Callithrix jacchus: one gene and its partners. The protein of the gene in region 5 interacts with the protein of the main gene of each other region in a pairwise test. Links are inferred from orthologs where the notes say so. Each region holds a gene or a part of one and is shown on either strand. Other genes may lie near its edges.

The links.
Region 1: the proteins of EXOC1 (region 5) and GOLGA4 interact in binary tests that used the Homo sapiens proteins (3 or more experiments, as listed by UniProt). The link is inferred for Callithrix jacchus from reciprocal best matches to the Homo sapiens genes EXOC1 and GOLGA4.
Region 2: the proteins of EXOC1 (region 5) and TRIM9 interact in a two-hybrid assay, tested with the Homo sapiens proteins (2 studies listed by BioGRID and IntAct). The link is inferred for Callithrix jacchus from reciprocal best matches to the Homo sapiens genes EXOC1 and TRIM9.
Region 3: the proteins of EXOC1 (region 5) and SYBU interact in a two-hybrid assay, tested with the Homo sapiens proteins (2 studies listed by BioGRID and IntAct). The link is inferred for Callithrix jacchus from reciprocal best matches to the Homo sapiens genes EXOC1 and SYBU.
Region 4: the proteins of EXOC1 (region 5) and CCSER2 interact in a two-hybrid assay, tested with the Homo sapiens proteins (2 studies listed by BioGRID and IntAct). The link is inferred for Callithrix jacchus from reciprocal best matches to the Homo sapiens genes EXOC1 and CCSER2.
Region 6: the proteins of EXOC1 (region 5) and CEP295 interact in a two-hybrid assay, tested with the Homo sapiens proteins (2 studies listed by BioGRID and IntAct). The link is inferred for Callithrix jacchus from reciprocal best matches to the Homo sapiens genes EXOC1 and CEP295.
Region 7: the proteins of EXOC1 (region 5) and KIF5A interact in a two-hybrid assay, tested with the Homo sapiens proteins (2 studies listed by BioGRID and IntAct). The link is inferred for Callithrix jacchus from reciprocal best matches to the Homo sapiens genes EXOC1 and KIF5A.

What each region holds. Positions count from the first base shown.
Region 1 is NC_133518.1:75,101,618-75,106,704, reverse strand, and holds the start of GOLGA4 (golgin subfamily A member 4), read right to left. Parts: upstream 2,977-5,087; 5' UTR 2,701-2,976; coding exon 2,629-2,700; intron 2,518-2,628; exon of another isoform or gene 2,329-2,517; intron 1-2,328. UniProt on the Homo sapiens protein: Involved in vesicular trafficking at the Golgi apparatus level. May play a role in delivery of transport vesicles containing GPI-linked proteins from the trans-Golgi network through its interaction with MACF1. Involved in endosome-to-Golgi trafficking.
Region 2 is NC_133509.1:85,561,227-85,565,513, forward strand, and holds part of TRIM9 (E3 ubiquitin-protein ligase TRIM9), read right to left. Parts: intron 1,953-4,287; coding exon 1,911-1,952; intron 1,493-1,910; coding exon 1,469-1,492; intron 629-1,468; coding exon 325-628; intron 1-324. UniProt on the Homo sapiens protein: E3 ubiquitin-protein ligase which ubiquitinates itself in cooperation with an E2 enzyme UBE2D2/UBC4 and serves as a targeting signal for proteasomal degradation.
Region 3 is NC_133517.1:87,413,959-87,418,245, forward strand, and holds part of SYBU (syntabulin), read left to right. Parts: intron 1-288; coding exon 289-399; intron 400-1,475; exon of another isoform or gene 1,476-1,573; coding exon 1,574-1,654; intron 1,655-3,386; coding exon 3,387-3,591; intron 3,592-4,287. UniProt on the Homo sapiens protein: Part of a kinesin motor-adapter complex that is critical for the anterograde axonal transport of active zone components and contributes to activity-dependent presynaptic assembly during neuronal development.
Region 4 is NC_133513.1:45,819,183-45,823,469, forward strand, and holds part of CCSER2 (serine-rich coiled-coil domain-containing protein 2), read right to left. Parts: intron 1,094-4,287; 5' UTR 1,055-1,093; coding exon 1-1,054. UniProt on the Homo sapiens protein: Microtubule-binding protein which might play a role in microtubule bundling.
Region 5 is NC_133504.1:140,888,180-140,892,466, forward strand, and holds part of EXOC1 (exocyst complex component 1), read right to left. Parts: intron 3,622-4,287; coding exon 3,394-3,621; intron 3,203-3,393; coding exon 3,070-3,202; intron 2,434-3,069; coding exon 2,324-2,433; intron 1,518-2,323; coding exon 1,464-1,517; intron 1-1,463.
Region 6 is NC_133511.1:46,665,728-46,670,014, forward strand, and holds part of CEP295 (centrosomal protein of 295 kDa), read right to left. Parts: intron 3,379-4,287; coding exon 3,286-3,378; intron 3,132-3,285; coding exon 3,028-3,131; intron 1-3,027. UniProt on the Homo sapiens protein: Centriole-enriched microtubule-binding protein involved in centriole biogenesis.
Region 7 is NC_133510.1:62,128,848-62,133,134, reverse strand, and holds part of KIF5A (kinesin heavy chain), read left to right. Parts: intron 1-711; coding exon 712-799; intron 800-1,080; coding exon 1,081-1,205; intron 1,206-2,274; coding exon 2,275-2,379; intron 2,380-2,567; coding exon 2,568-2,716; intron 2,717-2,847; coding exon 2,848-2,996; intron 2,997-3,314; coding exon 3,315-3,490; intron 3,491-4,287. UniProt on the Homo sapiens protein: Microtubule-dependent motor required for slow axonal transport of neurofilament proteins (NFH, NFM and NFL). Can induce formation of neurite-like membrane protrusions in non-neuronal cells in a ZFYVE27-dependent manner.

The DNA of each region.
Region 1 (5,087 bases), on a different chromosome or scaffold from region 5:
GCACAGTGGCTCATAACTGTAATCCCAGCATTTTGGGAGGCTGAGGTGGGTGGATCACCCGAGGTCAGGAGTTCGAGACCAGCCTGGCCAACACGGTAAATATACATACAATTCAAAAGGATTATTTTAAACCTTTTGTACACAAAGTGTTTTTATTTGATCTAGATGCCCTGTCTCACCAGAAGCATTAAGCTATAGAAACAGAGCTCTTGTATCTTAGCTTGTGACTAGCTTTACTATTATTACTAAAAACAACCTCTTTGTTAATGAACAAAAGCAATTCATTTTCATGAAGAAAAGCTAAACATTACAAAAAAGAAAAAGCACACTCAATAATTCAGCAACACCTTAAAGTATACCCTTCTTAAACTAGTTTTATTATGTGTGTATATAAAGACACTCACTTACAGATTATTTTTCACAAAACTGGGATCACATTTAATTGCTGCTTCTGTCTTTTAACACGAATATCTTTCTGTGCTAATACTTTTTTGAAGGCTCTGACACTAGCTGTGTAACAACAAACAAGTTACTTCACCTCCTTAAGACTCGCTCCTTCATCTACATAATACTGTAATTATCTACCTCACAGGTTTATGTGAGATTAAATAAAATAATCTGTAAAATACAAAGCAAAATGTCTGGTACATACTAAAGGATCCAGTAAATGTTGATTTTTTTATGGCTGCATAATAACCTATCAAGCATACCTAATTGCCGGATAAAGTTTATTTAATCAATACTCTAGTTGGATTTTTAGCTAGGTTTTGTTTTGTTTTGTTTGGAGACTGAGTTTCGCTCTTGTTGCCCAGGCTGGAGTGCAATGGCACCATCTCAGCTCACCACAACCTCTGCCTCCCAGGTTTAAGCAATTATCTTGCCTCAGCCTCCCAAGTGCACATGCCACCACACCCAGCTAATTTTTGGTATTTTTAGTAGAGACGGGGTTTCATCATGTTGACCAGGATGGTCTCAATCTCTTGACCTAGTGATCCACCCACCTCAGTCCCCCAAAGTGCTGGGATTACAGGTGTGACCCCCCACTCCCCCCACCTCCCACCCCCAGGCCCAGCCTTTTTGGCTACTTTTTAACCCATTAAAACAACATTGACATTAAAATCCATAGAGCTAAATCTTTATCACATCCTAAATTTTCTTAGAATAAATTTCTAGAAATAGAATCCTGGCTCAATTGTATTTAATACATTCCCAAATGGAAGGGCCTTACATTGACTAAAATGCCCATTTCCTCACACTCCTCATCTCTACCTCACTCTCTACCTACGTTTAAAGTTTATCTTTGTTTCTTAATAGTGTTTTGTAAAATTTTAAAAGACTGCAGTAAATGGTATGAAAAGTACAATCTTTACTACTTAGATTTTAATCACCATTCACACTTGAGAAAAGAGGCAAGACTTCGGTGTCGTATTCTGATTTTTTCTCAAGCACTGTCTCACTACACATAAGCTTTAGATTTAAAAAGAACAACTTTAGTTTACAGTTTCAGAATAAACCAAATTCAGTCGTTTATAAGATAATGTTAAGAATTCAGAAATGCCTCCAAATTAGTCAAAACTCCGCTTTTCTTGCAACTGCAAGCAAAAGACCAGAAACCCTAAAATTAAGGAACAGATCTGCTCAATCTGTCGAGACTCAAAAAGCCTGGGAAGAAATTAAACGGAAACCTTCATCTTCGCCGTTGAGACCCTGTGCTGCCAGCATCGAAACAACTTCAGTAAATGCGTAGGAAACTGTTTCTTTAAATTAACACTAGTAACACGCCTCCTTTTCCCTGGAAATGCATTTCCTGCGGCGAAGGCATTCCTGAAAATCAAGCGTAACCCTATTCTCAGAGCAGCAGCAGAGCAGCAAGACTCAAAAGGAATGCAGAGCAGAGTTCTGCACAGGAACAAGGCCGGCCGGGCGTCTTCTGCCTCCCCGCCCGCCAGTCCCGGATCAACCAAGTTATGCGAAGTGACTAACTCGTGACAGCCTCCGGCGCTGGACGCCGGCCACGCTGCCACCTCGTTCAGGTCCCACCGCTCCTGCAAGCAGCCTGACCCGGGATGGCTCTACTCCCCAGCCTTCAATCCCAGGACCTGGGTTTGGAATTAGGAGACTTCCTCAAGGGTCAGTCTTTGTGCGGGATCCTGGCCCTTCCACACAAAATCTCACAATGGGCAACAGAGAGGAGGACACCTCGAACAGAGGTCAACTATCACACAAGGGACCCGGGTTTTCCCACCCCGCCCTCATTCCCGGAGTGGGGTCTCGGGTGGGAGAAGCGCAGACAAAGATCAGAAATCATGCAATTTCGGTGTCCCTCACACATTCTCAGGCTGAAGTCGGGCCTTAGGGGAAAACTCGTAGCAGAGATCGGATGTCACGAGGGACCCAGCTACCTCCATCCACTCAGTACTGGATGGAGTTTTGTGATGGGAAAAATCCAGGTCAGGAGTTACGGACGACCTGCGCCGACCGGGACTCCTTCTGGGTCCGGAGTTTGGGAAGAGTCCCGGGTTAGGGATCAAAGGTCACGGAAGAACTCCCCACTCTCCCCGCCTTTCTTGTCCCGGGCCGGTTCAAGGGGTGTCGGGAACAAGCGGAGGAGAGCAGCGGCCATAGTACCTGAGTAGGGGCCGGTGCCTGCTGGAGCTGCTGCTGCTCCTCGCTGATCTTTTGCTTCAGTTTCTTGAACATGGCGCAGCGAAGGGTCCTGAGTGTCAATGAGACCTGAGGGGCGAGAGCCCTGGGAGTCCCGGCCGCGGCAGCGACAGCGACTTCTCTACACCAGGGACAGCGGGGGCCAGGCCTCGCCGCCTCCTCGTTGAGCCCGCGGGCAAGTCCGGACACTCGTCCGGAGGGTGTCGGCGTCGCCGCCGCCGCGTCTCTTTCTTCCGGGTGCCACTGGCTGGCCTCGGACCCCCATCCAGCCCCGGCAGCGGCGGCGGCGGCGACAACGGCAGCAGGTGAACTGTGTGCCAAGGGCGCCTGCGCGGCCTACGTGGAGCTCACCAAGGCTAACTACGGAGCACCGGAGGGCACAAGCACGATGTCGGCGCCCGCACATGCGCGCTCGGCCGGTCGCCCCGCGCTCACGGGAGGACGCAAGGTTCGCGGCTGCCTGACTTCACTGAGTGCGGAGACAGCCCTCGCTGCTCAGAACCGGAGCGAGGGCTACTCTCAACACCACACTGACTCTCACCTGGGCTTTGGCCCTGCGAAATCAGACGGGGAGAATGCTGCCTCTGGCAGCAGGGCTGACGGGCCCACAGCGAAGAACACAGGGATGAGCGTCCGGATGGGAGAAGGGGAGATCCAGAGAACCTGACGCGGGCCCTAATGGACTGTGCCCTTCTGTTCAGTAGCTGTAGCTGGGATTCTGTCTTCAGTGCCTAGTGTACGTGGCTGCTCCCCAGAGGGGCCCGCTTCTCTTCCCCGAACTCTTCAGCGTGGGGAAGTCCCTGATACCAGGCGCCAGGGGTCCAAATGTTCTACGCCAATACTGTAAGACCTTAACTGGTTGGACTTACTCTTTACTTCGCCGAAATCGTATATTTAACGAATTCATTCAAAACCCTTTATCATGCCTTGGAGATGTTAAAATAATTCCTAGCCTAGTGGAAGGCACAGATTCCTAAAGATTCCAAATTTACTCCTAACACCTGCAATCATCCTACAGGATTTTAATGTTTATGTGCCTCATTTATCCAACACCCTGAACTTTAGCTGCCTGTGAATCCTCCGGTCCATTTCAGCAACCTGCTTCTGTTGTATTGGACCGAGCACAGAAAGTCAACACCAAGACAAAAGTATGCCAAATTGCAGGGTTTATTGCCGGCAACTACGGAGGACTGACGTCTCTCCAACCCGTGGCAGAGAAAGAAGGGTGACGAGACCTTTTTATACCCGCAAAACCACCTTGGGAGTGGGGGTGAGGAGTGGAGATGGGAATGAAAGCTGTCAGTCACCTCCTAGGCTGAGACGAGGGTGAGGGGGCTCCGGACTTTCCAAGGGCCGGGGGACTTTTGTCATTCCGATTGCCACATAAGTGGTTTACAGAAGTCAAGATAAACATTAGTTTATACATTATTTGGACAGGTGTGGGGTCCACAGACTTTTTCAGTTGCTTGGCGCCAGGATGGAATTATCTGGGGGTGCTTACTCGGGTCAGTACCGGTAAACAGAGGCCAGCAATTCTGGCAGTTACAGATAAGTGAAAGTATGCAGCTTTACCTCTCTTTGCATTTTGCAAAGTAAACTTAGCAGTTTACAGAAGCCAAGGTCAGCAGTCATTGTGAGAAGAATGGAAACAGTTTTGTCTCTTTATAAAATGACAGGTTCTAACTCTAGGCCAGCTGTATCACACTTCTGCATGCCATACCTTTGGTATCATCTCAAACTGCTTACCCATTGGTCTCAAGCAGCAGAACCTGACAGAGTACATGCTGATCTTCACATATTAGCAGATTTTGTTTACCAGCAATAGGTGCAACCTGCTCTCAAGAGTCCATATTCTGATCACTAAATGTATTAGAGCCAGAGTGCGGTCTGGAACACTGTCTTAACACCTGGGCTAAGTCCTCTTATATCTCCTAGTGAACACCTTATATAAGGGGTCCCCAGCCCCTGGGCCACAGATGGGTACCAGCCCATGGCCTGTTAGGAACCGAGCTACACAGCAAGAGGTGAGTCTCTGGCAAGCCAGGGAAGCTTAATCTGTATTTACAGATACTCCCCATGGCTCACATTATCGTCTGAGCTCCACCTCCTGTCAGATCAGCTGTGGCATTAGATTCTCATAGGAGCTGGAACTGTTGTGAACTAGACATGACAGGGATCTAGGCTGTGTGCTCCTTATGAAAATCTAATGCCTGATGATCTGTCACTGTCTCCCATCACCCCCAGGTGGGACCCTCTAGTTGCAGAAAAATAATCTCAGGGCTCCCACCGATTCTACATTATGGTGAGTTGTATAATTATTTCATTATATATTACAATGCAATAATAATAGAAATAAAGTGCACAATAAATGTAATGTGCTTGAATCATCCCAAACCATTCTTCCCCATCCCCCAGCCCCCACC
Region 2 (4,287 bases), on a different chromosome or scaffold from region 5:
TAATTTGTGTTTTTTTGATCAGTTGTAGGTCCGGGTGTTTCAGCATCTTAGATTGTTATTTATAATGGATATCATTGGGATTCTGACTTTCCTGCTGTGGGTGTAATACAGCAATGAAGGGAGCAGGAAAGCATTCAAGTCTCTATCATACAAAAAGTAAACCACCAGCGTCGACTCAGCTGAGGCTCACAGAGTGTCTGTGCCACTTAATGTAGACCACCTGACTTCCTTACTATGGTCTAGGTAATAGGTTTTTGAAATAGGGCTCTCACTCCTGATCAGCAGCCAACGTGAAGAAGGCTTGGTTTGGGGGCTGCAGGGTACCTGTTGGTGTGCGAGTTGTTGTGCATGAACCAGCTCCGGTTATTGTCCACATACATTGCCCAAGCTTTGTCGTCCTTTCCTAACATCACATCCTTCATCACGTCCATGCGAGCCACGCCAAAGGCAGGATCAGGGTGGTTGTCATAGCGATCTACCGTTAGCTCCCAGTAGTGGACTCCCTTGGAGAAGCCAGTCTTCCCTAGCACCACCCGGTCGTCATAGCTACTGCAGGTCACTGTCAGGTTGTCATTGGAGAGGATGATGTCTGAGTGCGCCGAGCCAGGATCGAAAGCAAACCAGGCCACTGGGAACAACAGAAGGGAATCAGGTTATTAAGACAGACCCAACAAGCTCAGCACCATAACATACTCCTGGGCGGGTGAGGAGCGTTGTGTAGCGTTTTCATGCTGCCATGCAGGAAGGAGGCGTCCAGGACCAAGGCAGACAGGGGCATGTCCTGGGAGTTGGTACTCTCTGCACCAGAAGCAGACGGAGGACACACGACCGATTCAGCAGGGGTTACCTGGCTCAGACTGCACTCCCAACCAGGTGATCCGGGAGTGAAGTGGCATCGATTTTGGAAGGTGCAAGTCCCTTCACCTGGTGACTGGCTGAACAGTGCACCAGAGACATAAAGGGAGAGGGGATGCGCTAAGATGCCTGTGTAACCCCTTAGGCGGGGAGGCTAGGAGCTAGAGTCCTAGATGGAGGAGGGATAAAACACATGGAGTGAAATCAGGAAATATCCCTTTGGCAGAAGTGCTAACATCTAGTCGCTTTGAAGTTTTCCTCAGCTCTAGTGAAAGCTCACAAGCTGCGAAGCTATAAGCAACATAAACGAATTTTCATGAGTGATTGTGACTTGGATGTTGGACAGGTTGCTGTCTGCATAACTTAAGAAAAACACAGTTTGCATGCTACTCCTGAAACTAACACGTCAGAAATTTTGCTGGAGCAGTAGGTATTTTGGACAGTAGGTGCAGATAGAATGATGTGTTTGTACACATTGTTACGCCCCAAGTTCTAAATGCCACCTATAAATATCACACTCAAAAGATGTAATTGCTGATTTATTGAACCTGTGAGACACCTCACATGCACTTTGGTCTTTGCTATTAGGTAAGAGAATAAGGTTATTCCATACCTGCCAAGAGCTTTTTAATGTCAACTGTTGTCATTCCAAGTGAAAGGCATGGGGGAGAGAGATAGGAAGCAAAATTGACATGGATAAGAAAACGTGTCTCTCTTTGATAGACTAGTCCCCAAAAGGACTCAATTTAAAATGCCACATATACTAAACAGGAGCTCTCTGACCTGTACCTTTACCCACATTTAGTGCTCATAAAGAGTGCTTTGCATTGATGTATAAGAAAACTGGGGGGAAAGTAAGCTTTAAGGCATAACACTGAAAACTACAGGCATCTTTTCCATTTTTTTAAGAGTTTGAGAAACTGCTATAATAGGGTTAGAATGACAATTAGACAATTTTATTGACATAAGACAAGCTGCTGCCATTTATTTTGTGAAAAAAATTGAGCACATCAATCACGTAAGTAAAAGATAACAATTACAATAAGTATACTTGCCTAATTGAGAGTAAGGTGCAGATTGTGTCTCAAAATTGCATCCTATAAAGAGATACTACACATCAACACTATGAAACAATCAGGTTGATAAAAATTACTTGTATATACACTTAAAAAGCACCAGCTGAATACTGATACCAGAGGCCTGATCCATGAAAAAACAAAGCCCTTTTTATATTAGTTTACTTTGCTGGGTGAAAAACTGCCTTTCTGCTCTTTGAAAATGAAAAGTACGTCCTTTTACCATTAATAAATCATCTCCCAATTGATCCTAAACTCTGTAGCTGAATTTTTCATCTTCCGAGCTCAATCTTTTCCTCTAAAGTTTCTACAGAAAGAAGGCGAGCTCCTGTAAAAATGAGGAAAATGTACTTAATTGAAATGGAGAAGTCACTGGATTTTGATAAAACTCTGCTCTATCTCACTATTCTATGCACTTCGGAGTCTGGTTTTGCCAAAAGGTCTTCATTGTGACTTGAGCCCAAATTAAATAATACATCTCTAACTAAATGTGTAATGTAATGCATCTGATAATTATTAATAATAACATGGCGAATGTGTTAAAATCGCCTCCTCTCCTTCTTAGGAGAGATCCTCCTCACCTGAGGGAGGAGGAGGGCTGGTAGGAGTGGGTGTGGTCTCAGAGATATACTGGAATCGCCTGTGAAACTTTTTCAACTGTTTGCATTCCCTAAGATTTGGATACCTATACCTCATGAGAAACTACACTGGAGTGGAGGAAGACTGTCTAGTCTTAAAATGTTCAAAGGTGCGTGACCTACAATTTCCAGTGGTGTCAGGGACTGATCTAGAAAATGTGGGTTTGATGAGCACTGGGGGATAAAGAAAGGATCATTTAATTTGTTTTCTATTTAGTAAGGCCTTTATATGCTAATTCCTAAAACATTTGGAGGATAATGTGCGGACTTAAAAGATTTCACAAGAATTAAAGCAATTTACTATAAACAAGGACTAATGACTGAGTTAAAAACAAAATATAAAAATTATGATCTTACTTTTGGTTAGTTTGTTTTACGCTGGGATGAATTCGCATGCAAAAGAATCATTTTCTCCCAGTTCATGGCTGATTTTTATGTTTAGTTTCTATCAATTATCACTTTAATTCCTATTCATGTGTTAGAGCATAGTGAGTATGGGACACCCAGAGTTTTAAAACTGACTCTCATATTCAGCTTTGGAAATAAGTTTGTAGAATCTGAACAGGGCTTTAAAGACTTTTCAATGAATCATGCCTTGTGCAACTCTTTTGCAAAACAAATATTCTGAAATCTTTTTACACTACTTCAAATACATCATCATACATTTAAGATTCAACAATACAACTAGAGTAATGCTCTTAAGTACACCCATCAAATATCCCAAAACTCACATTTCATTTTTATTCTTGAGACAATATACATTACAAAGACTGTAACAATATTTCAGTACATTAGACACAAGGGAAAAGAGTTTCATAACAAAGCATGTTGGGAAGCCATAGTGCACAGAAAAACAATAAGAAACATAAAAGCACAAAGAAAAATGTCATTTTAAAGAGAGCTTGAAGTCCCTGCATCCTTTTTGCACTGTCATGCTGTGGCCTTCTTCATTCCAGAATGTGGGATGAGCAAAAAGAACAAAATAAAAAGCAAAAGAAACCTTTGGAAATGTGAAATGTGCATCATGTGTATCCACGATTACAATATAGTCCTGAAGAGATCAAATAGGTCTGCATCTTAGATATTTTAAGATTCTATTTGCTAGGCAGTGTTCACTACAAAGGAACACAAGTCTAGCTTCGCTGAAATCAGCTGTAGGCTCTGTCACAACCGGCTTGGCTGTGGGAAACTTTGAGGAGGGCAGACTTTGATTACTCAGATCTTTGGTCACTAGGCATTAGCAGCTGAAGGTTTCGAATTCAGCTAGCAGTGGTCCCACCCCGTTGCTAGGAGAACACTCAGCCATGAGCCCCACTGGCCTAGCAGTGAGAACAGGCTTTTGCAGAAAACGCTTTCACTTTCTGCTTTCTGGATCGCCCGCTTTGTAGAATGCTTTCTGCTATTGGTGTGTTTTTACTTTTATTTTACTTTGTCAATAAAATGTTGGTGTGTTTTTACTTTTGTTTTACTTTGTCAATAAAGATCTCTTGAGTCTATGTTTAATCAGACCACTCCAGGCTGGATGCACTGATCCAGTCTCCCAGACACAGCTGGTTTCCTGGATACAGAAGGGCTGCAAACCTCCACATTGCTGCCACGGCCTCCACTCAGCCAGAGCCTGTGCCGTGCTGTGCCACTGCATGTGATGACAGAGCGGGTTATCCATGGTGGTCCAGCTTGTGCAAAAAGAATAACTTCACTCATCACTTTCTGATGCT
Region 3 (4,287 bases), on a different chromosome or scaffold from region 5:
TTTCAAGAAGCACAGTCCTCCCATATAGGACGCCGGTGCATAAGGATCAGAGTATTGGCCTGCCACATTGATGCTTGAAATATTCCCCAATTCTGAATAAAGGGTGTATAAGTCATTATACATGTTGAATTCCATCACCAGATAAGATTTAAGGGTAGCAAGTGTAATAAATCAAGGCTCTTGGCCAGAGATGTACCCTATTCTAAGTCTGCTGTTGGACAGATTTTCAACCTTTCTTCAACAAATCTGTGTGCATCACAAATGCTTTTTATGCCTGTCATGTAAAAGGCATCGGCAAATATTGACCGGATCACCTGGACCAACTTAGCCGCCCTTTGGAAAATTCTGCTCTATCGGCTGTTTTGTTTTCCTCATCTAACCGTCACAGCTATCCTAGAGGTAGGTATCACTATTATCATCCCTCAATTTCACAAGGGTAAACTTGCAGTTCAGAAGAGTCAAGAACCGTAGGCGTAGGCCAGGCAGGCAAAGCCACCTGCATGTAATTCCGGCACTTTGAGAGGCCTAAACAGGAGGATCCCTTGATCCCAGGAGTTAGAGACTGCGGTGAGCCCTGATGACACCATTGTACTACAGCCTGGGCCACAGAGTCGGACCCGTCTCAACAACAACAACGAAAAACAAAAACCATCAAAAAACAACAAAAGCACAAAAAATATATAAAAATAAAGAAATAAATAAAATGAAAAACTTTAGGCATCTAGTCACTGAGGCTAAAGGGACTGATGGAGTGCTGGCTTGAACTCGTTTTTCTGAGTTCAACTGCAGTGCTCTTCCCTTAGCGGTGCGCCTGAGCTCCTTCCTGGCGCCGGGCAGCTGCCAGGCAGAGCTGGGGAAAAGGCTGTTCTCCCGCTACCTCGCAGCCTCGCTTCCCCAAGCCGGAGGGACTGAGCTGCCCACTGAAGGCCTTTCTGATGCAACCCCCACAAGTAGAATCCACCGCAGCCTTTGAGATCCCGGAACCCAGGCGCAGGCTGTGTCAGTCGTCCTGCCGCACTGGCTTGGCTGGGGTCCGGTAGGAGAGAGATCCCCGCTGCTCTCGGGCGAGGCAGTTGTGCAGAGCTGTAGGTTGACTTAAGCCCTGGAGGCCAAGGAGGGGTCGCCAGGGGAAAACTTTCTCTGTTTTGCCTCTGAGATGTCGCAGCTTTTCTCAGTTACTCCATCCAACGCCACCCTCTTCAAACCTGAGACCGAGGGTGGGGGCACCCCTGGGCTGGAGACGCCGCTAGCCACGGCCTGCTCACACCGGGCCGAGCTCCTTGGAGAGGGAGGGACATGCGGCCTTGTGGGGGCGGGCGGTGCCGTGGCCAAATCAGCGGGTGGGGCACGCCCAGGCGCGGTCGAGTTGCCCCGAGGGCCTCAGGTGAGGAAGGCGCCAGGGGAGCGGCCTCAGGCGACTGCGGCACCACGTGTCCGACCGGGGCGGGGCCGGGCGCGCCCTGGGAGCCTGGCGCAATCCGCGGCTCTGGCGGCGGCGGCGCGTTGGAGCCGCAGCAGCCGCCGCCCGCAGCCCGCGCCGGCTCAGCGCAGTCTCCTCACTCCGTGCTCGCAGGTGCCTCCTCCTGGACGGCGGCAGCGGCGGCGCAAGGAGCCGGCGGGCAGCGGCGCGATGGGGCCCCTCCGAGAGAGCAAGGTAAGGAGCCCGGGGCAGTGCGGGCGCTGAAGGGCGGGGAAGGCGGGCGCTGCGGGGCGAGAAGCGGGCGGGATGAGAGCTGGAGGGGTGACGTTTAGGGTCCGGGGAAAGACAGGACAGGGGGAGGTGGGGTCCGGAGAAGGCAGGGGGCATTGCTTAGGTGTTGAGAGCCAGGAGATGGGGAGGCGGTACTGGAGGACTAGATTTTGGAGACTGACATGATTGGAGGGTTAATCCCATCTCCTGAAACTGGGAGTGTGTGGTGTAGCTTTCAGTTGATGTTCGGTGTGTGAGATGTGAATGAAAGGAATCTGATGCATTCGCGACTGGGAAATGAGGACTCGAGCGTGTCAGTGACCCCGCCTCGGTTCAGGGTCTGCGGTGTGCCCAGCAGAGGGGCTGGCGCGGTGGTACCTGCTGGGCGGCAGATGTGCAGGGCGAATCCGAGGCTGGGTGCGGCTGGCGGCCCCTGGGTACAGTGGTTGCCTGAGGGCCCTCTGAAGTTCCCTATCGCTGGGGTTTACCCTTCAATTCCTGCCATGTGCCGGCCTCCCAGAGGTGTTTATTTTGGCCGTGACCCTTCCTGGTTAAGTCTGAGGAAAGGAACAGTAGGTCATGTTTCGAAAGGGTGTTTGTTACCTAAGCCAAAGAGTCCCTTTTCAGTGACAGAGGTTGGAGGAAGCCGTGGAATTTTTTGCACAACGCTCCTCCTAGGAGTCCATTTTAATAAGGCAGGATGGTGGTGACCCTGCAAAGCACTGGATTGGAAGTTCGTTCTACTTCTGACATGGTGTACAGTCCTGCCTAAGCATCTCTACCCCATTTAGGCTGTTTCCTCACTGAAAATAGGGCCATTCATTTGTGTCCTCTCTATGTACCGTCTGGTGTGTAAAGATCAGATGAGAAAATGGTTGGGAAAGCACCTTGTAAGTTGCAAAACATTGTGAAAATATTACTGTTATGCATTTTTAAAACCAAGGCACGGCAGGGTATTGCATACTGAGTTTTCAAAGAGAGAGAAAAATCTCTTGTTATGGATGTCCTGTAAAGAAAACACAAACTAAAGATGATGTAAAAGGTGGAGCCATCTTCCCATCTATCAGATTTGTGTTTGCTTTTCTGTTGGCAACAAGCCTTGTGTACTAGGGTATTAATGAATAATTAAGATCCTGTCCAGAAGAGGAGGGATTTTAAAGATAATTTTGTGCAAGCTATCAGGAAATAACTGTTCCAGGTATAGGGTTCGACTTTGTGAGGAGACAAGAAAACAGTAGTCAGATAGTCACAGCTAATTTAGAGAAAGCAAAATGGAAGTCCGAAGGCTATCAAGTAAGAAGCCAGAGTGTGGTGTAATAAAGAGCCTTTGGGAGATGGAAGCTTGAATGTGATAGAAGAAGTCAGGGTGGGAAGGTGAGTCAGGACTGGCATAGGGAAGTAGGATGCCTTCCAGCTAGTGAGTAGAAGTCTGTAGTGTGTATATGTGGGGTGTGTGTGTGTGTGTGTGTGTGTGTGTATGCGCCACACAGATATGTGCTATTCAGTAGATTAGAAAGGTTAGCTCAGTAGAAGGGTTTTGAAGTTCATTCAGTAACTGAGATAAGCAGGGCTACTCTGTGAAGACTCAATACTCAGAAATGTGATTTCTTAGAAACTGATCCTTGAAGGAACCCACAGGAGTTCAGAGAGGGAAATGCCTTTCCTTTTGTTTTCTTTTTTGATGTTCAATTTTGAGAAGGAGCACAGAGTGCAGCACCATGACAAGGAGATTTCTCGAAGCCGAATTCCCCGGTTGATTCTTCGGCCCCATCTGCCCCAACAACAGCACAAAGTGTCCCCAGCCTCTGAGTCTCCTTTCTCTGAGGAAGAGAGCAGAGAGTTCAACCCCAGCAGCTCTGGGCGCTCAGCAAGGACCGTTAGCAGCAACAGCTTCTGCTCAGGTACAGTACCCTGGGGAAGCCACCAGAGGCATGAAGCATGTGCACTGCAGGTGCATTGTGAATGGGCCAGCACTGGGTCCCTTATAGCCTAGAATTACACTTCTACTATTAGGATGAATTGTAGAAGGTCATACATTTCTGGCTGTTGTGACCTACAAACACAGCATTTTCATATGGTTCAGTTTATTGGAACCTCACACCTGAATTTTCATGTTTTTCTAGCATATAATTTCGAATGTAAAATCTAACTGTTTGTTTCTATGAGGTTTTTTTTCATTTTTTAAATTATACTTTAAGTTCTGAAATACATGTGCAGAACGTGCAGGTTTGTTGTATAGGTATACACGTGCCATGGTGGTTTTGCCATACACATCAACCTGTCATCTACATTAGGTATTTCTCCTAATGTTGTCCCTCCCCTAGCCCCCCATCCCCTCACAGGCCCTGGTGGGTGATGTTCCCCTCCGTGTGTCCATATGTTCTCATTGTTCAGCTCCTACTTACGAGTGAGAACATGCGGTGTTTGGTTTTCTGTTCCTGTGTTAGTTTCCTGAGAATGATGGTTTCCAGCTTTATCCATGTAACTGCAAAGGAGATGAACCCATCCTTTTTTATGGCTGCATGGTTTTCCATAGCATATATGTGCCACATTTTCATTATCCAGTCTGGCATTTGGGTTGGTTCCAAGTCTTTACT
Region 4 (4,287 bases), on a different chromosome or scaffold from region 5:
TAGCATCTTCTTCTACATATGTGTCAGCAGGTGAATTTTGATTTCCATCAACTGTGATAGTCCCAGACAATGGAGATCGGCTAGATTTCAGTAGAGAGGGATGAACCATTCTATAGCCTAAAGTAGAAGTTACACCTGGACCATTTGGTATAGCCAACTTCTTTCCACTAGCAGCATAAGGCCTATTAAACCCATACCCCAAATGTTCACTCCCATTGAGTACTTCCGACTGCCGGGAATTTCTTGTTAGGATACTTGACCGTAGAGGCACTCTAATGGATAGCTGTTGGTTTTGATAAGGCTTTGTAAGATCCACAGCTCTATTAAAGGAATGTGATCTGGTTATAGATGAAGGTGGAAGGAATGAATTCTGAATGGAATGTGAAAAACTTTGTGACCTTACCATTTTTTCACAATTAATAGGTTTACTACTGTCTGGGGACTGAGCTAAGCTTTCACCAGAACTGCTTCCGGTGGCACAGGAGTTTGCTCTAGGCCTTTGCATGCTACTAGCTGACCGGTTTCCATAAAATCCATTCAACTGTGATTTTGGAGTATTGACCGAAGAATATGAAGTCCTTCCTAATAATGTGCCTTTGGTAAATTTACCCAAATTAGATGGTCCAGAAAAAGACTTTTGGTTTAACTCCTCTGTTGATGACACTAACATAGTGGATGGCTTTGCTAACTTTGACGTGAATAATGAAACACTTTTCAAACCTCCCTTTACCCCATTTTTATCAAACATTCCTTGAGTAGGAACAAGTTTTTCAGGATCAATTATTTTATCACGTGAATTTTGAGTATTGTTAGGCTCTTCGGCACCTTGTGCACAAAGTTGGTATTTATTTTTTCTCCAATTAAATGAATGAGATGATGAACAATCAGAGCCATTATTTTTGATGTAACTTTTGATGTTACTATTCTTGGAAGTTCCTAATAAATTAACAGGAGTCCCATTTGACATTGGCTGCAATGTACTTCTTACAGATTTTGATCCATACTTTGGCAACTTGGAACCCAAAAATGTCTTGATTTGTGTTTTTTCTTCCATGAGCTATAAGGTGCATTTGTTCTTAAAATTTGACAGAATCTGTGAAGTGAAAAAAGAAGTACATTAAACATTACTAAATAAGGATAATTACTTGAATTATTACATAATATGATACTTATACTTTTATATGCAGAAAAGCCCAAAAGCTACTCATGATTTCTATAGATCTCCTAGCAAATAATGAATGTACTAATTAATAACTTTATGTTGGAAGAAAATAAAGAACTTTTTTTAACTTTTATGAACGTATGCTATGAATCATGACCACAAAATCCAGAAATAATAAAATCAAACTACCAAATTTGACGATATAAAAAGTAATTCTCTCAGAGTACTTCTTCCAATTTCCAATCCAAGTAATTTTTTCATTTTGGATAATAGTCTCTCCTTTAAAAATAAGAACATATGGAAAGCCATAGCCAGTTCACTCAGGCAAGAGAATGAAATAAAGGGCATTCAGATTGGGAAAGAGGAAGTCGGACTATCTCTGTTTGCCAATGACGTGATTATATATCTAGAAAATCCTACAGACTCCTTCAAAAGATTCCTAGATTTGATAAATATATTCAGTAAAGTCACAGGTTGCCGAAGTACACAAATCAGTAGCACACAAAGAAGGACTAACGATCAAGACTCAATCCCTTTGACCATAGCTGAAAAAAAAAAAAAAAAAAAAAACCAACTAGGAATATACTTAGCCAAGAAAGTAAAAGATCTCTACAAGGAGAAGTGCAAAACACTTCTGAAAGAAATCAGACAATGCAAACAAATGGTAATACATCCCATACTCATTCATTAGCGGAATCAATATCATGAAAATGACCATGCTGCCAAAAGCAGTCTACAGATTCAATGCAATTTATATCAAAATACCAACATCATTTTTCACTGAATTAGACAAAACAATCCTAAAACCACAATGAGATATCACCTTATCCCAGCCAGAACGGCTATTATTAAAAAGTCCAAAAACAATAGATATTGGCATAGATGTGATGAAAAGGGAACATTTATATACTGCTGGTGGAAATATAAATCAGTAACACCTCTATGGGAAATAGTATGAAGATTTCTAAAGAAGTAAATTTACCATTTGATCCAGCAATCTCACTACTGGGAATCTACCCAAACGAAAATTGTATTTAAAAAACAGCTGCATTATGTATGCTTATTGCAGCAAAATTCACAATTGCCAGATGTAGAACCAACTTAATTACCCATCAACTGATGAGTGCATTAAGAAAATGTGGTATACATACACCAAGGAATATTACTCAGCCATAAATAAGAATGAAATAATGTCTTCTGAAGCAACGTGGATGGAGATAGAGGTCATTATTCTAAGTAAAGTAATTCAGGAATGGAAAACCAAATACCATATGCTCTTACTTATAGTTGGGAGCTAAGCTCTGGTTATGCAAAGGCATACAGAGAGGTATAATAGACACTGGAGACTCAGAAGGAGGGATGGTGGGAGGAAGATGAGAGATTTTTTTAAAAACTACACAATGTAGAAGGGTACAATGTACACTGTTTGGGTGGCATGTGCACTGAAATCTAACTTCACCACTATACAATTCATTCATGCAACCAAAAATCACCTGTTCCCTTAAAGTCAGTGAAATAAAAGTTAAAAGAACATATATTTTTTTAATGTATATAATTTTATAAAAACTGGAAGACATCTGAAAAACATTAATTACTTAAGCCACAGAAGTATATAGATGAAGAACATAACAGTACCAAAAAAATTATTTTGGCATCAAGTGTTGAGTAATAAGCTGTCATTTTAGGCAACTATCTCAAAAGAATTTCCATCCAGTAATATAAATACACATTACAGTTAGTGCCAGGGTGAGAAGTACAAAAATTTAATAAAGTTGATTTGTACATTAATCTTAATCTTACACAATTTATTTTATTTTATTTTTTGAGACAAGGTCTCCCTCTGTCACCCAGGCTGGAGTGCAGTGGCATGATCACGGCTCACTGCAGCCCCCACCTACCTGGCTCAAGTGATCTTTACACCTTAGCCTCCCGAGTAGCTGGGACTAAAGGCACACAGTATCACAACCAGCTAATACTTAAAAAAACATTCATAGAGACAGAGTTTCACTATATTGTCTAGGCTTGTCTTGCACTCCTAACCTCAAGCAATAGACCCACCTGGGCCTCCCAAAGTGCTGGGATTAGAGGCATGAGCCACCGTACACAACTTGAATTTATTTTAAATATAACACAAAACTACAAAAACAAAAAGGTTCAATGCACACAAAAGAGCATAAACTAGAAACCATTACTGTCCTCTATTTGAGTAACTTTTTAATAAATTATGACATACCATGTAATAAGATTATAAAGATGAGCTAGAAATATTAATCCCAGCACTTTGGGAGGTCAAGAGATTGAGACCATCCTGGTCAACATGGTGAAACCCCGTCTCTTCTAAAAATACAAAAAATTAGCTGGGCATGGTGGCGCGTGCCTGTAATCCCAGCTACTCATGAGGACGAGGCAGGAGAATTCCCTGAACTCAGGAGGAGGAGGTTGCGGTGAGCCAAGACCGCACCATTGTACTCCAGCCTGGGTAACAAGAGCGAAACTCCGTCTCAAAAAAAAAATTTTTTTGCCCTAATAGTAACAAAAATATATGGTGACTATATGCTCACTGTAATTATATAAGAATTCTGTAAAAACACAAACAAGGGAAAAATGGAAATTTAAAAATGCCTTAGGGTCACTGATGTTTTTAATGTAGTGTATGACATTGTCTTTAATTTTGTTTTTTTAAGAGGCATGGTCTTGCTCTTTCACCCAGGTAGAATGTAGTGGTGCAATCACAGATCACTACAGTCTCAAACTCCTGGGCTCAAGTGGTCTTCCTACCACAGCCTTCTGAGTAGCTAGGATGGACTACAGATGCATGCCACCATTTTTACTTTTTTATAGAGGTGGGGGCCTTGCTACATTGTGTAGGCTGGTCTTGGATTCCTGGGTTCAAGCAATCCTCCCACCTTGGCTTCTCAAAGTGTTGGGATTACAGGCATGAGCCACTGTACTGAGCTAAATTTTTTAAATTTTGTTGTTGTTGCTGTTGTTGAGATGGAGTCTCACTCTGTCACCCAGGCTGGAGTGCTGTGGTATGACCTCAGCTCACTGCAACCTCCATCTAGCGGGTTCAAGTGATTCTCCTGCCTCAGCCCCCTGAGTAGCTAGGATTATAGGTGTCCACC
Region 5 (4,287 bases):
TCTAATTTGTGAATTTTAAAAAGACTGAGAATCAAGGCTTTGAAATTATGTTGTAGATAGATTATTTTCACTGGATTCTTCAGTACATTATTTGTAAATGTTATAATAACTACTCATTTGCTATAAACTGTATTGCATGGACTCAGTTTAAGTCCTACCTTATCCTCGATTCCTTCCCTATCTGACTCCTTAAAGTCGCAATAAACTTACTTTCGATTAAACCTTTTTAGCACTTAAAATCCACAGTTCTACAATTAGCAATTTATTATATACATTGCTAATGTACATTAGTCTTAACTCCTTACAAGGAGTAAGTATATTAACTCCTTACAAGCATCTTGAGGGTACAAACTATTTCTTATTCTTACATATGGAAGACAGTGCATAATAAATACACAATGAAAATTCTGTGATTGACAAAGAGGTGTACCATATTATTTTAATCAATTTTCCCAGCTTGTTCCCCTACCAGGAGTGGAAATACCCACGTTTCCCAACTCTTTTGCTAGGTGACCTGATGCACTGAATGCAACACAAAGAACATCTCTTTCTTATGTGTGGGGTATCTTCTTCCACCTTTTCCGGCACATCTCAGGTTGTCACAGCATTCTGGTTTTTAACATGCATCACTCACATGTAACAATATATATTAGCTTTTCAGAAATGGGAAGCATTCATTTTAAATGAAGCCATTAGTTTACAAGACAAGAAGCAAAATCATAAATGCATGTTACAACAAACAGGGATACAGAAAACTCTTGTTTATTGGCTGCTATTTTCAATACTATCTACAAATGTGGATAACATCATTGTCAACAGTGTCATTTTTAAAAACTAAGGAACTGTATAGAAATAGATGTTATTGAAGTAATTACCTAAGAAAAACGGGAATCAGTATTTCCTATGTGACTTCTAAGCTTACTTTTTCTTGATATTTTTCAGGTCAAGGAATCTCTCTGATTTCCCCCTACCGTGCTTTTAGTTAAGTGGCCTTCCTCTATGATCCCACGGTCCCACTATCGTAACATTTATCCCTCTGGAGTATATTATTTGTATGTCTCCCTTCCCTAGACCGTGAACTACTTGAGGGCAGGATTGGTCTCTCATTTATCCCAAGTCAATGTCTGGTATGTACCTCAATCACCCAGCATATAAATGACTACTAAAAATGAAGGAGTAATATTATTATTATTACTAAAGGAGTAATACTACTATTTATTACTAAATATATGAAGTGAGTGAAAAAATGACAGAAAGAAAAGCAAGCAGAATGAGATTAAATGCCTTTTTGGCCTGAATAGTCTCTATTATGAGACACTTAAAACTGCTACAAATATGGGTTAACAGGTAGCTTAAATCAGTAAGTTATAATCTGTAAAGATTCTGCTGCTGTTAAGTTTAGCAAACTTAATAGAAAAAAAAAAAAGAATCAGAGAAGCTTGAGCCAAATTTGATGTACTCACAGGAACCGAAAGAAAGTACGACCTGTTATAGAGTTGAAGGAGGGCCTGAGTAAACTAATTGGAAATAAAATATAGTAAATACAATTGTTTTAGAATATTGCAAAGTGAAAACAAAGTAAAAATTTAATGTTTTCAGACTGTATTTCTTGATGAACAAGATATCCCCCCAATTTTTTTCCACCCAATAATGCTAATAAAATAGGACTTTTAAAAGAGATGAAAAAAATTAGAAACCTAATTTATTACATTAGATATTATTATTTGAGGGATTCTAGTCAAATCCCTCAAAGATACTCTTAATATTATTAATAACAATATTAATACTACACTCTTAATTATAACATCGTTTTCCATATAAAAATATAGGCAAAGCATTTATATGACAATTAGATCAACTGAAATTTACAGTTAAGCTATAGTCATTTTCTTAACAAGTATACTATGTACTAAGTACATGGATCTTACAACACATTTAAAATACTGACTCAAGTTCTGAGTCTCACCTCAAAATATTGAAAAATAAATCAGGTCTAATAGTAAACATCTAACAAGTTTGGACTTACTTTTATAAATAAGAATGTCTAAGTAGTATATGCATTTAATATGCATAGTTATTTGATTTTTACAATCAGAGAGCTTCAGCTGAAGGGAACTAGACTGTCTACCTAAAGAGGCAGCTGAGGCCCAAAGAACATCTATGAGCAAAGAAGCATCTATTTCCAAATCTTAAAATTGAATATGTGAAGGAATTGACTGCAATCCCAATTAAACACATTAATATGTAGGTGGAAATTTAAGGTTAAGGTCATATATAAATAATATATAGGAACATGCTCATGTTAATAATAAGATAAAATTACCTGCTGAACAAATACATTGTTGAGGTGACTGGCCAGTCTCCGGGCAAAAAGCTCTCTCAAATCACTGAATCGCTGCTGTTGCTGTTTGACTGCCAGAAGCATGTCATGGCCTGATACAGAATGACATTTTGTGACCAGTTTAATGGGTAAAAAGATTTCCTCGATGTTTAATGGAATATTAAACATTTCCAAAGTTTTGAAGAACCCAAAAGTTTTATGGGTATATTCATTTACTTAAATGATAAAAGTTAAAACAGGAGAAAAACAGGATAGCACAGTGGTTCTTAAAGTGTGGTCCTCCCTCACCATCACCTGGGAACGGTCAGAAATGTGGATTCTAAAACCTCAGTCCATATCTGCTGAATCTGGGGTTGGGGCTAGGTAATCTATGTTTTAATAAGACCTCTAGGGATTCTGATGGATACTCAAGTTTTGAAGCCACTGCCTAGAAAAACCTTATGCTCTCTGGTCTAACCACTGCACCTACTTTGTGCTTGGTTCTGTAGACAGCACTAAATAAAAATCACTGTGTTAACTACAGTCATTGATGGTCAATTAGGAGGAGCTAAAGTGAAAAAGTTCCTAGTGTCAATAGAAATAAGTTGGGAAATCAGTGAAACTTGAGTAGCTAATAATGTAACCCTAAACCACTTGCCTCATATTATTTCTTGTCAAAATCTTTACAACAAGTGACAGGCTTAGTCTCAGATTCTTAGTCACATTTTTGTCTTTTCTAATGAACATACCTGGTCGAAGAGCTACATTCATGCACTGCAGAAGGGCATCAGCAGCATTGGTGCAGGCCTCAATGCCTCTGGAGGAAGCAAGATCTCCTTCCTGAAGGGCCTTTATATGACCTTTGGCCAAGTCCATGTGGTTCTAGATATGCAAACACACTATTTGCATGTGTAATTTTGGGAAATTTACAGGCAAGATGCTACTCAATCCTATCATTAGGTCTTTGGAATTATTTTAAATCCTGCTCTCATAAGGAAATTAGAAAATATTTACAACTGGATTTTATATATCATCACTAGTTTTTGTTGTTGTTAATTTACAATCATACTTACCACAAGGAACTCTATCTCAGATAGGAGTTTTACATTATTAGTGTTACTAAGATGAATAAGGTGGTTGCTTTCAGAGATCTGATCCATTTGTTCTTTTACACTTTGGAGCATTTCCTCATAACTGCTCAGTTTCAATTCAATCTGATCTACCTCCTTTAGAGCCTCATCTAGCAATTTCATCAGGATGTTGACTTGTTTTTCAGATGCCATGATTGACTGGATGTTAGCCTACAAAGTTAAAGACCAAAAAACAAACAAATAAACAAACAAATAAAAAAAAACCACATAAACCACACGTCATGTTATCTAAATGTGTAAAAAAAGAATACAGGTGAAATGCTGCTAAATTTCCTTGAAATTGGAGTAACAAAAATTGATATGTATCTACACATCTACTTTAGTTTATCACTTTATGTTCTTCCATGTCTTACACAGTATTTCATGCAGGTACACTTGCTTCTATATCAATATTAGGAACCATGCCTTAGGATTTTATATTTCCACAGACTGTACAAGTAAGGTGCCAGAATGTCATCAGTAATGGCACATTCTCATTTCTATACATTTTGGAGGCATTAGGCCATGTTATCACTAACATTTCCTCCAATTTTACCAGCTAGAAATTTTCTTAACATCTATATGAAACCCTAAATAAAAGCATAATCACCTATATGATATGCTAGTTGAGAAAGCAGCAGTGGTACATCAGACTCTGAAGAATATATGAAACTAACTTATAACTGTAGTATGATGGGAACTAGTAATAGGATGTAGAGGAGCATATGGCCAACAGATCCTTCTATCATCTTTTCTCTTTCATTTGCCACTCTGTTTTCTCCCCCCAGGCAATGCAGTAACAAACCACCACCCCTTATCACTATTTTCTAAATGATT
Region 6 (4,287 bases), on a different chromosome or scaffold from region 5:
CCATTAAGAGGTATAGTTATCTAGAAGCAAAGAACAACATTCTGTGTCTGTTTTGTCAGGCATGGAACAGAAGAAAATAGCAGAAAGATAACACAAACTCTAATATTATATAAGCATACTTACATTCTAAGTAATATGAACATGTTTGAGTAACTATGAGTTTCATGAGGACAAAACTAGCCTGCCAAATCTACCACCTTAGTCCCTTCCTATCTGCAATTTAGCTTTTGTGGTTTAATTACTCAGGTCAACAGCAGCCAGAAAATATTAAATGGAAAATTCCAGAAATAATTCATAAGTTTTAAATTATGCACTGTTCTAAGTAGTGCAATTAAATCTTGCACTGTCCGGTTGAAACAAGAATAATCCCGTTGTCCAGCATATCATGCTATAAACTCAATCAGGCCACTTGTTACTTGGTAGCCATCTTGGTTACAAAAACTTGCCTGTTGCAGCATCACAGTACTCGTGTTCAAATAACCCTTGTTTTACTTCACTATGGCTCCAAAGCATAAGAGCAGTAATACTGGCAATTCAGATGTATCAAAGAGAGGCTGTAAAGTGCTTCCTTTTAGTGAAAAGTTGAAAGTTCTCAATAAGGAAAGAAAAAAAAAATTGTACACTGATTGCTAACATCTATGGGAAGAGTAAATTTTCTATCAGTGGAATTATAAAGAAGGAAAAAATTTCACCCATACTATATACAGGAATCAATACTATCTGCAGTTCAGTACTATCAGGCATCCATTAGGGGTCTAGGAACATATACCCTGTGGATAAGCAGAGACTACTATACAGTCCTTGATAGATAAAATATTTACTAAGTAAAAAAAGGAATGCACATTCAGTTTTATTATATAAAGAATAGCACTTCTACTAGAGATAATGAACAATGATCTTCTTTTCAAGATAAAAACAAAGTCTCGACCAGATTCTTTGCCTATTCCTAATTAGGCAACAGTGGCTTCAACTGAGTTCCTGTCTTCCTCTTCCTTACTTTCCCTCACTCATAGGAAGCCCTGAATTTAGACTGTTTACAGTTCTGTAGTACATCTAGAACCATACTATCCATACAGTGGTTAGTAGCTGTATGTGACTACTTAAATTTAATTAAAATTAAATAAAACTTAAAATTCAGTTCCTCAGTTACACTAACATTTTAAGAATTCAACAGCCTATGTGGCTAATAGATACATGCTAGACATAGATACAGAACATTTCCATCATCATAGAAAGTGCTAATGAACAATATTGTTCTAGACTATTGATAAGAAAATATTTTTTCTTTTTTTTGAGATGAGTTTTACTCTTGTCGCCTAGGCTGGAATACAGTGGTGCAACCTCGGCTCACTGCAACCTCCACCTCCTGGATTCAAGTGATTCTCATGCCTCAGCCTTCTGAGTAGCTGGAATTATAGGCGCATACCACCACGTGCAGCTAATTTTTGTATTTTTAGTAGAGACGGGGTTTTGCCATGCTGGCCAGGCTGGTCTTGAACTCCTGACTTCTGGTGATCCACCCACCTAGACCTCCCAAAGTGCTGGGATTATAAGCATAAGCCACCGTGCCCAGCCTGAGAAAATATTTATCTGAGAAGAAATACTGGCACATGGAATTCTCACTCCCCAGCTGTATTTTTGAAAAAACAAACTAGGACTACAACCTGACTTGCTTAGTAATAATTAGCCTCCTTTTAGGTAAGTTGGGTTGAAAAATCTTTTATTAATAGTAGATGAGACCAAAATTGTAAGTTAAGGAGAATTTTTTTTTTTTTTTTCAGATGGGTCTTACTCTGTCACCCAGCCTGGAGTGCAGTGGCATGATCTTGACTCACTGCAACCTTCGCCTCCTGGATTCAAGCAATCTTCCCACCTTAGCCTCCAGGATGGCTGGGATTACAGGTGTGTATCACCTTACCCACCTAATTTTTAGTAGAGATCGGGTTTCACCATGTTGGCCAGGTTGGTCTCAAACTCCTCGGCTCCAGAGATCTGCCCACCTCGGGCTCCCAAAGTGCTAGAATTTCAAGCATGAGCTACCACGGCTGGCCTAAAGAGGTTAAAGTTTAGCTTGGGCAATATGGTAAGACCTCATCTCTACTATGAAAAAAAAAAAAAAAAAACAGCTGGATATGGTGGCCCATGCCTGTAGTCCCAGCTACTCAGGAGGCTGAGGTCAGAGGACTGAACTGAAGAGGTCAAGGCTGCAGTGAGCCATGATCATGCCACTGTACTCCAGCCTGGGCGACAGAGCAAAAACAGGGGGTTGTATATGAAAAATTTTTCCTCTGGCGCGGTGGCTCACGCCCATAATCCCAGCACTTTGGGAGGCTGAGGTGGGTGGATCACGAGGTCAAGAGATTGAGACCATCCTGGTCAACATGGTGAAACCCCATCTCTACTAAAAATACAAAAATTAGTGGGGCGTGGTGGTGCACGCCTGTAGTCCCAGCTACTCAGGAGGCTGAAGCAGGAGTATTGCTTGAACTCAGGAGGTAGAGGGGGCAGTGAGCCGAGATCAAGCCATTGTACTCCAGCCTGGGCAACGAGAGTGAAACTCTGTCTCAAAAAAAAAACATTTTTTTTCCCCCTCTGAAATATATTTTTCAAAAAAACTTGTGGGATTACAAAGCCCATCTGAGTGTCTAATACTATGATAAGGACTTGTTAATTCAACATTTATTGTATACTTACTATGTACAAAGCATTGTATCAGAAACTATGTAGGATAAACTCAATCTTTTAAAGATAGTTTCCGCTTTTTAAAAGCTAATAAGTTTTATAGGGAAGGTAAGACACATACAAATATATAAAATATAAAGCAGACACAGAAAGGATTGAATGAGTAGTATGAGCAAAGACAACATGCATTCTATCAGCTGAATGTCTGTGTAAGACAATGTCAAAAACATTATATCAAAAGTAGCCAGACATTAAAACAAATGTCATTAGTCAAACGAAATTATATAATAGTACCGAGTGGGGCGGTGGGGGGAATAAATCTTTAAAAATAAAAATTCAAATTACCTGTTTCTGCCTTGCTGACTTTCTAATCCTGGCTGCTTCTTCTTGAGGATGAAGTAGAACTGAACTCTGAGCTACAGTTGTGATAGGCAGAGTCTCTTTTATTTCTAGGGGAATGCCCCAAACAAAAATTAGTTTAAATAATTTAGAATTATGACACCATTATAATGCCCTTTCTTAATATATCACATGTAATTTTATTAAAAAAAAAAATGATGTGAGGAGTCAAATTTAATTTGAGGATGTGATAAAAAGAAATACCTTGTTCTTTTCCAGAGTTTGTACCACACGAAAGTGATTTATCCTCACTAGTAAGTGGTCCAGACTCTATTGTTAGTGTATCACTTTCAACAACTGTAATAGATAATACCACTGTTATTAAGAATATCTCATTGTCAAGCTTAAATCAAAGCAAAATAACAAAATTCTGGTATTAACAAATTCAATCTAGGGCCACCTGAATATCTCATTTAGTTAAGATCCAGTCACCTTCCTGATGATCAAATATATTTCTCATTAAACCCAAGCCTAATAATACGACATGAAAGACTGAAATTGTGAAAACGTGAAGAACTGATTTAAAAGATACGCTGATAAGGTTTCAAACACAGTGGAAAAGCATAACAAGAGTGAAAATAACAAGGAATCAAAGTTAAAAGAGACGCTAACGAAATGTCAACGTATCTTTGATATATCTAGATGCTAGAATTTTTTTTTTTTAAAGTAATTTGTGAAACCAGAGCAGAGAAGGAAGTTAAAGCAATTTGTTCTGATCATATTTGGGTAGCCAGATACTCTGCATGGAGCAGCCGTTTCTGTTCACTTATTTATTCATTTGGCACCTACTTATGTGGTACATACTGGGGATACCACAGTGAATGAGAAAAGGCTTCAAGGAGGCTTACAGAATAGATAGCAGAACCATCATATAATTATCCCCCAAAAAATTATAATAGTAGAAATCGTGACAAGTACTATACAAGAGAAGTGAAGGGTTATACAATAGAGTATAATAAATAATAACTTGCTGGGCAAGATGAAATTTCTCTGAGGAAATTACATTTAAGCAGACACCTGAAAGGTAAAGAAGAACCAGCCAGGTTAACTATGTGAAGATGTATAGGAGACTTTCCAGACAGACCAACAGGTACAAAACTCCCCATAAGGATAAAGAAACAAACCTTGGCCCATTCAAGGAACTGAAAGATCAGTGTGCATGGGCTATAGTCAGGCAAGGGGGAGAATAAAGCAAGATGAGAATGG
Region 7 (4,287 bases), on a different chromosome or scaffold from region 5:
CTAATATTTTGTATTTTTAGTAGAGACGGGGTTTCACCGTGTTGGCCAGGTTGAGCTTTAACTCCTGATCTCAGGTGATCCACCTGCCTCAGCCTCCCAAATTGCTGGGATTACAGGCATGAGCCACAGTGCCTGGCCCCTTGTTTAATTAAAAAAGAAAATTAGCCAGGCATAGTGGCACACACCTGTAGACCCAGCTACTCAGGAGGCTGAGGCATGAGGATTGCTTGAGCCCAGGAGCTCAATCGAGGTTGCAGTGAGCCATGATAGTGCCACTGCACTCCAGTCTGGGTAGTAGAGCAACATTGTTTCTTTTCCTTTCCTTTCCTTTTTTTTTTTTGATGGAATCTCACTCTGTTGCCAAGGCTGGAGTGCAATGGCACGATCTTGGCTCACTGCAGCCTCCACCTCCTGGGTTCAAGCGATTCTTCTGCCTCAGCTTCCCAAGCAGCTGGCATTAAAGGCATGCACCACTAGACTCAGCTAATTTTTGTATTTTTAGTGGAGATGGGGTTTCACCATGTTGGACAGGCTGGTCTCAAATTCCTGACCTCAGGTGATCCGCCAATCTCAGCCTCCCAAAGTGCTGGGATTACAGGCATGAGACACTGTGCCCGGCCGACACTGTTTCAAAAAGGTAATAAATAAGATAAAAATAAATACAAACTTAAAAACAAAGTGTATGGATCACTGTCTGTTTGTCCCCCACAGGGTTGTACTGAACGCTTTGTGTCCAGCCCAGAGGAGATTCTTGACGTGATTGATGAAGGGAAATCAAATCGTCATGTGGCTGTCACCAGTGAGTGGGGATACAAGGGGATCTCTCGAGTCTGAGGATCTACCCGTCTTCTGTGTCCTCTGGGGTGGTGGGACTCAAAAGTGAGCCAGGAAAGACTATGCCCCTCAGAAGAGAAGACCCTTTGTCTGAGGGATCCTGCTGCCTGGGAGATGTGGCAGTAGGTCTAGTCCTGGCGGGCACCTTCTCTCCAGGTGGGCGGGGCTGGGTCCAGTGGAAGCCAGGGGCTGAGGACCTCACTTCTGCAGGGTGGTGCAGGTCCTGTCTCTCCCTTGCTCCTGCAGACATGAATGAACACAGCTCTCGGAGCCACAGCATCTTCCTTATCAACATCAAGCAGGAGAACATGGAAACGGAGCAGAAGCTCAGTGGGAAGCTGTATCTGGTGGACCTGGCAGGGAGTGAGAAGGTAAGGGGTCCTGTGGATATGGGGTGGGTGAAAGCCTTGGCTCTTTCATATTTTTGAGATAAAGTCTTGCTCTGTCCCCAGGCTGCAGTGCAGTGGCATCATCTCGGCTCACTGCAACCTTTGCCTCCTGGGTTCAAGCGATTCTCCTGCCTCAGTCTCCCAAGTAGCTGGGATTACAGGTGCCCGCCACCACACCTGGCTAAGTTTTTGTATTTTTAGTAGAGACGGGATTTCACTATGTTGGCCAAGCTGGACCTTGGCTCTTCTTCTTTTTGAGATGGAGTCTGGCTCTGTCACCCAGGCTGGAGTGCAGTGGCGCAATCTCAGCTCACAACCTTTTCCTCAGTCTCCCAGGTAGCTGGGATTACAGCCACCTGCCACCACACCTGGCTAATTTTTTGTATTTTTAGTAGAAACAGGGTTTCACATCCCGGCTGGTCCTTGGCTTTTTTTTTTTTTTTTTTTTTTGAGACAGAGTTTTGCTCTTGTTACCCAGGCTGGAGTACAATGGCACCATCTCAGCTCACCGCAACATCCGCCTCCTGGGTTCAAGCAATTCTCCTGCCTCAGCCTCCCGAGTAGCTGGGACTACAGTCTTTTTTTGAACTAAAAAATTATTTGTATTGGGATATAATTCACATACCATAAAGTTCACCATTTCGAAGGCAACTCAGTGGTTTGTAGTATGTTCCCAAGGTTGTGCAACCATCATGCTACCCAATGCTAGAACACTGTCATCACCCATTCGCAGTCACTCTCCATTGTCCCCTAACCCCATCCCCTGTCCACCTCTAATCTACTCTCTGTCTCTATGGTTTTGCCTATACTGAACATTTCATATAAATGAAATCATATAATATGTGGCAAGAGGTGAAGGCAAGGTGGGCTTGGACAGGAGAGTTGAGGGGAACAGAGCAAGCGCCTTCCCCAATCCCAGCCAAGCATCTCTTTTACTCTGTCTTCTTCCCTGTTCCCTCCTTTCTCCTTGGACTGAGCCCTGGAATGAGATGGTGACAGCCCTCTCCATGTGTAGCTACTCATATATAGTCATCTCTTATTGCCCTGGTAGGTCAGCAAGACTGGAGCAGAGGGAGCTGTGCTGGACGAGGCAAAGAATATCAACAAGTCACTGTCAGCCCTGGGGAATGTGATCTCTGCACTGGCTGAGGGCACTGTGAGTGATCCTTAGGTCCCCTCACCCCTCAAGCCCCACCCCGTCTCCTCCCCCGCCTGCTAATGCCACCATATAATCATGCCCCAATTCATGGGTCACTTGATCCCTGGGTAGCACCACTGCACTTTCTGATTCCCTGTTGAATTGTATTAGTTTATTTCTGATTCATGGTCTCCTTCCTCCCGCAGAAAAGCTATGTTCCATATCGTGACAGCAAAATGACAAGGATTCTCCAGGACTCTCTGGGGGGAAACTGCCGGACGACTATGTTCATCTGTTGCTCGCCGTCCAGTTACAATGATGCAGAGACCAAGTCCACGCTGATGTTTGGGCAGCGGTCAGTGGCAGGGTCCCCATGAGGGATCCCTGGTACCCAACTTGCCATCCCAGCCCCTGTGGTTCTCTCTCCTCAGGGTCACCCAAGTCTAATGTAGGTCTCATCTCTTTGTTCCTCTTATTCTCACCCAGTGCAAAGACCATTAAGAACACCGCCTCAGTGAATCTGGAGTTGACTGCTGAGCAGTGGAAGAAGAAATATGAGAAGGAAAAGGAGAAGACAAAGGCCCAGAAGGAGACGATCGCGAAGCTGGAGGCAGAGCTGAGCCGGTGGCGCAATGGTTAGAGAGGGATCAGTGGGAGTGAGGGGTGGTGGGAGGAGGAGGAGAAGGCTGGGGAGCCAACTCTGGGTGACGTTTCTGGCCAAGCCAATCTCCAAGAAGCGGGGCTGCATTTCTGGAGAGGTGTAGTAGAGCAGTCATGAGGAAAGGGAGTGAGGGGGCTGACTACCTACCTCCCCAGCCCTGCAAAAGGTAGAAGGTCCACCTGGCAAGAGAGTTCAAGGGCCCCAGAGGTCTTGGTATGAAGAGTGAGAAGGAAGAACTCGTGGATGCAACCTATTTTTCTCCCATTCCTCACCTTATCCTGCCCCTTTGCAGGAGAGAATGTGCCCGAGACGGAGCGCCTGGCTGGGGAGGAGGCAGCCCTGGGGGCTGAGCTCTGTGAGGAGACCCCTGTGAATGACAATTCATCCATTGTGGTGCGAATCGCACCCGAGGAGCGGCAGAAATATGAGGAGGAGATCCGCCGCCTCTATAAGCAGCTCGATGACAAGGTGAGGGCGGCCAGGCAGAGCACGGAGGCGGCCAGGTGGGATGAGAGGTAGAGGATCAAAGAAAATCGCTTCTATTGCCGTTTTCTGGTTTTAAAAGGGGATAACTGCTTATGATTGAAATGTGGAAAAATCAATAAAATACGTAGAAGAAAATTGAAATCATCCACTATTCAGAGATAATACTTAACATTTTGCTTTTCTCTGTGCGTATACAATGCAATTGAGATATACTGTATATGTAATGGTTTTTTTTGAGACAGAGTCTTGCTCTGTTGTCCATCTGGAGTGCAGTGGCATGATCATGGCTCACTGCAACCTCTCTCAGGTTTTTTTTCCCCAATGAGACAGAGTTTCACTCTTGTTACCCAGGGTGGGGTGCAATGGCATTATCTCGGCTCACTGCAACCTCTGCCTTCTAGGTTCAAGTGATTCTCCTGCCTCAGCCTCCAGAGTAGCTGGGATTATAGGCATGTGCCACCACACCCAGCTTATTTTGTATTTTTGAGTAGAGACAGGGTTTCTCCGTGTTGGTCAGGCTGGTCTTGAACTACCCACCTCAGGTGATCTACCTGCCTCTGCCTCCCAAAGTGCTGGGATTACAGGCATGAGCCACCATGCACAGCCTGTCTCTCAGGTTTAAGTGATTCTCCTGCCTCAGCCTCCAGATAGCTGGGATTACAGGCACATGCCACCATGCCCGGATAAACTTTTTATTTTCAGTAGATACGGGGTTTCGCCATGTTGGCCATACTAGTCTCAAACTCCTGAACTCCAGTGATCCGTCCGCCTTGGCCCTC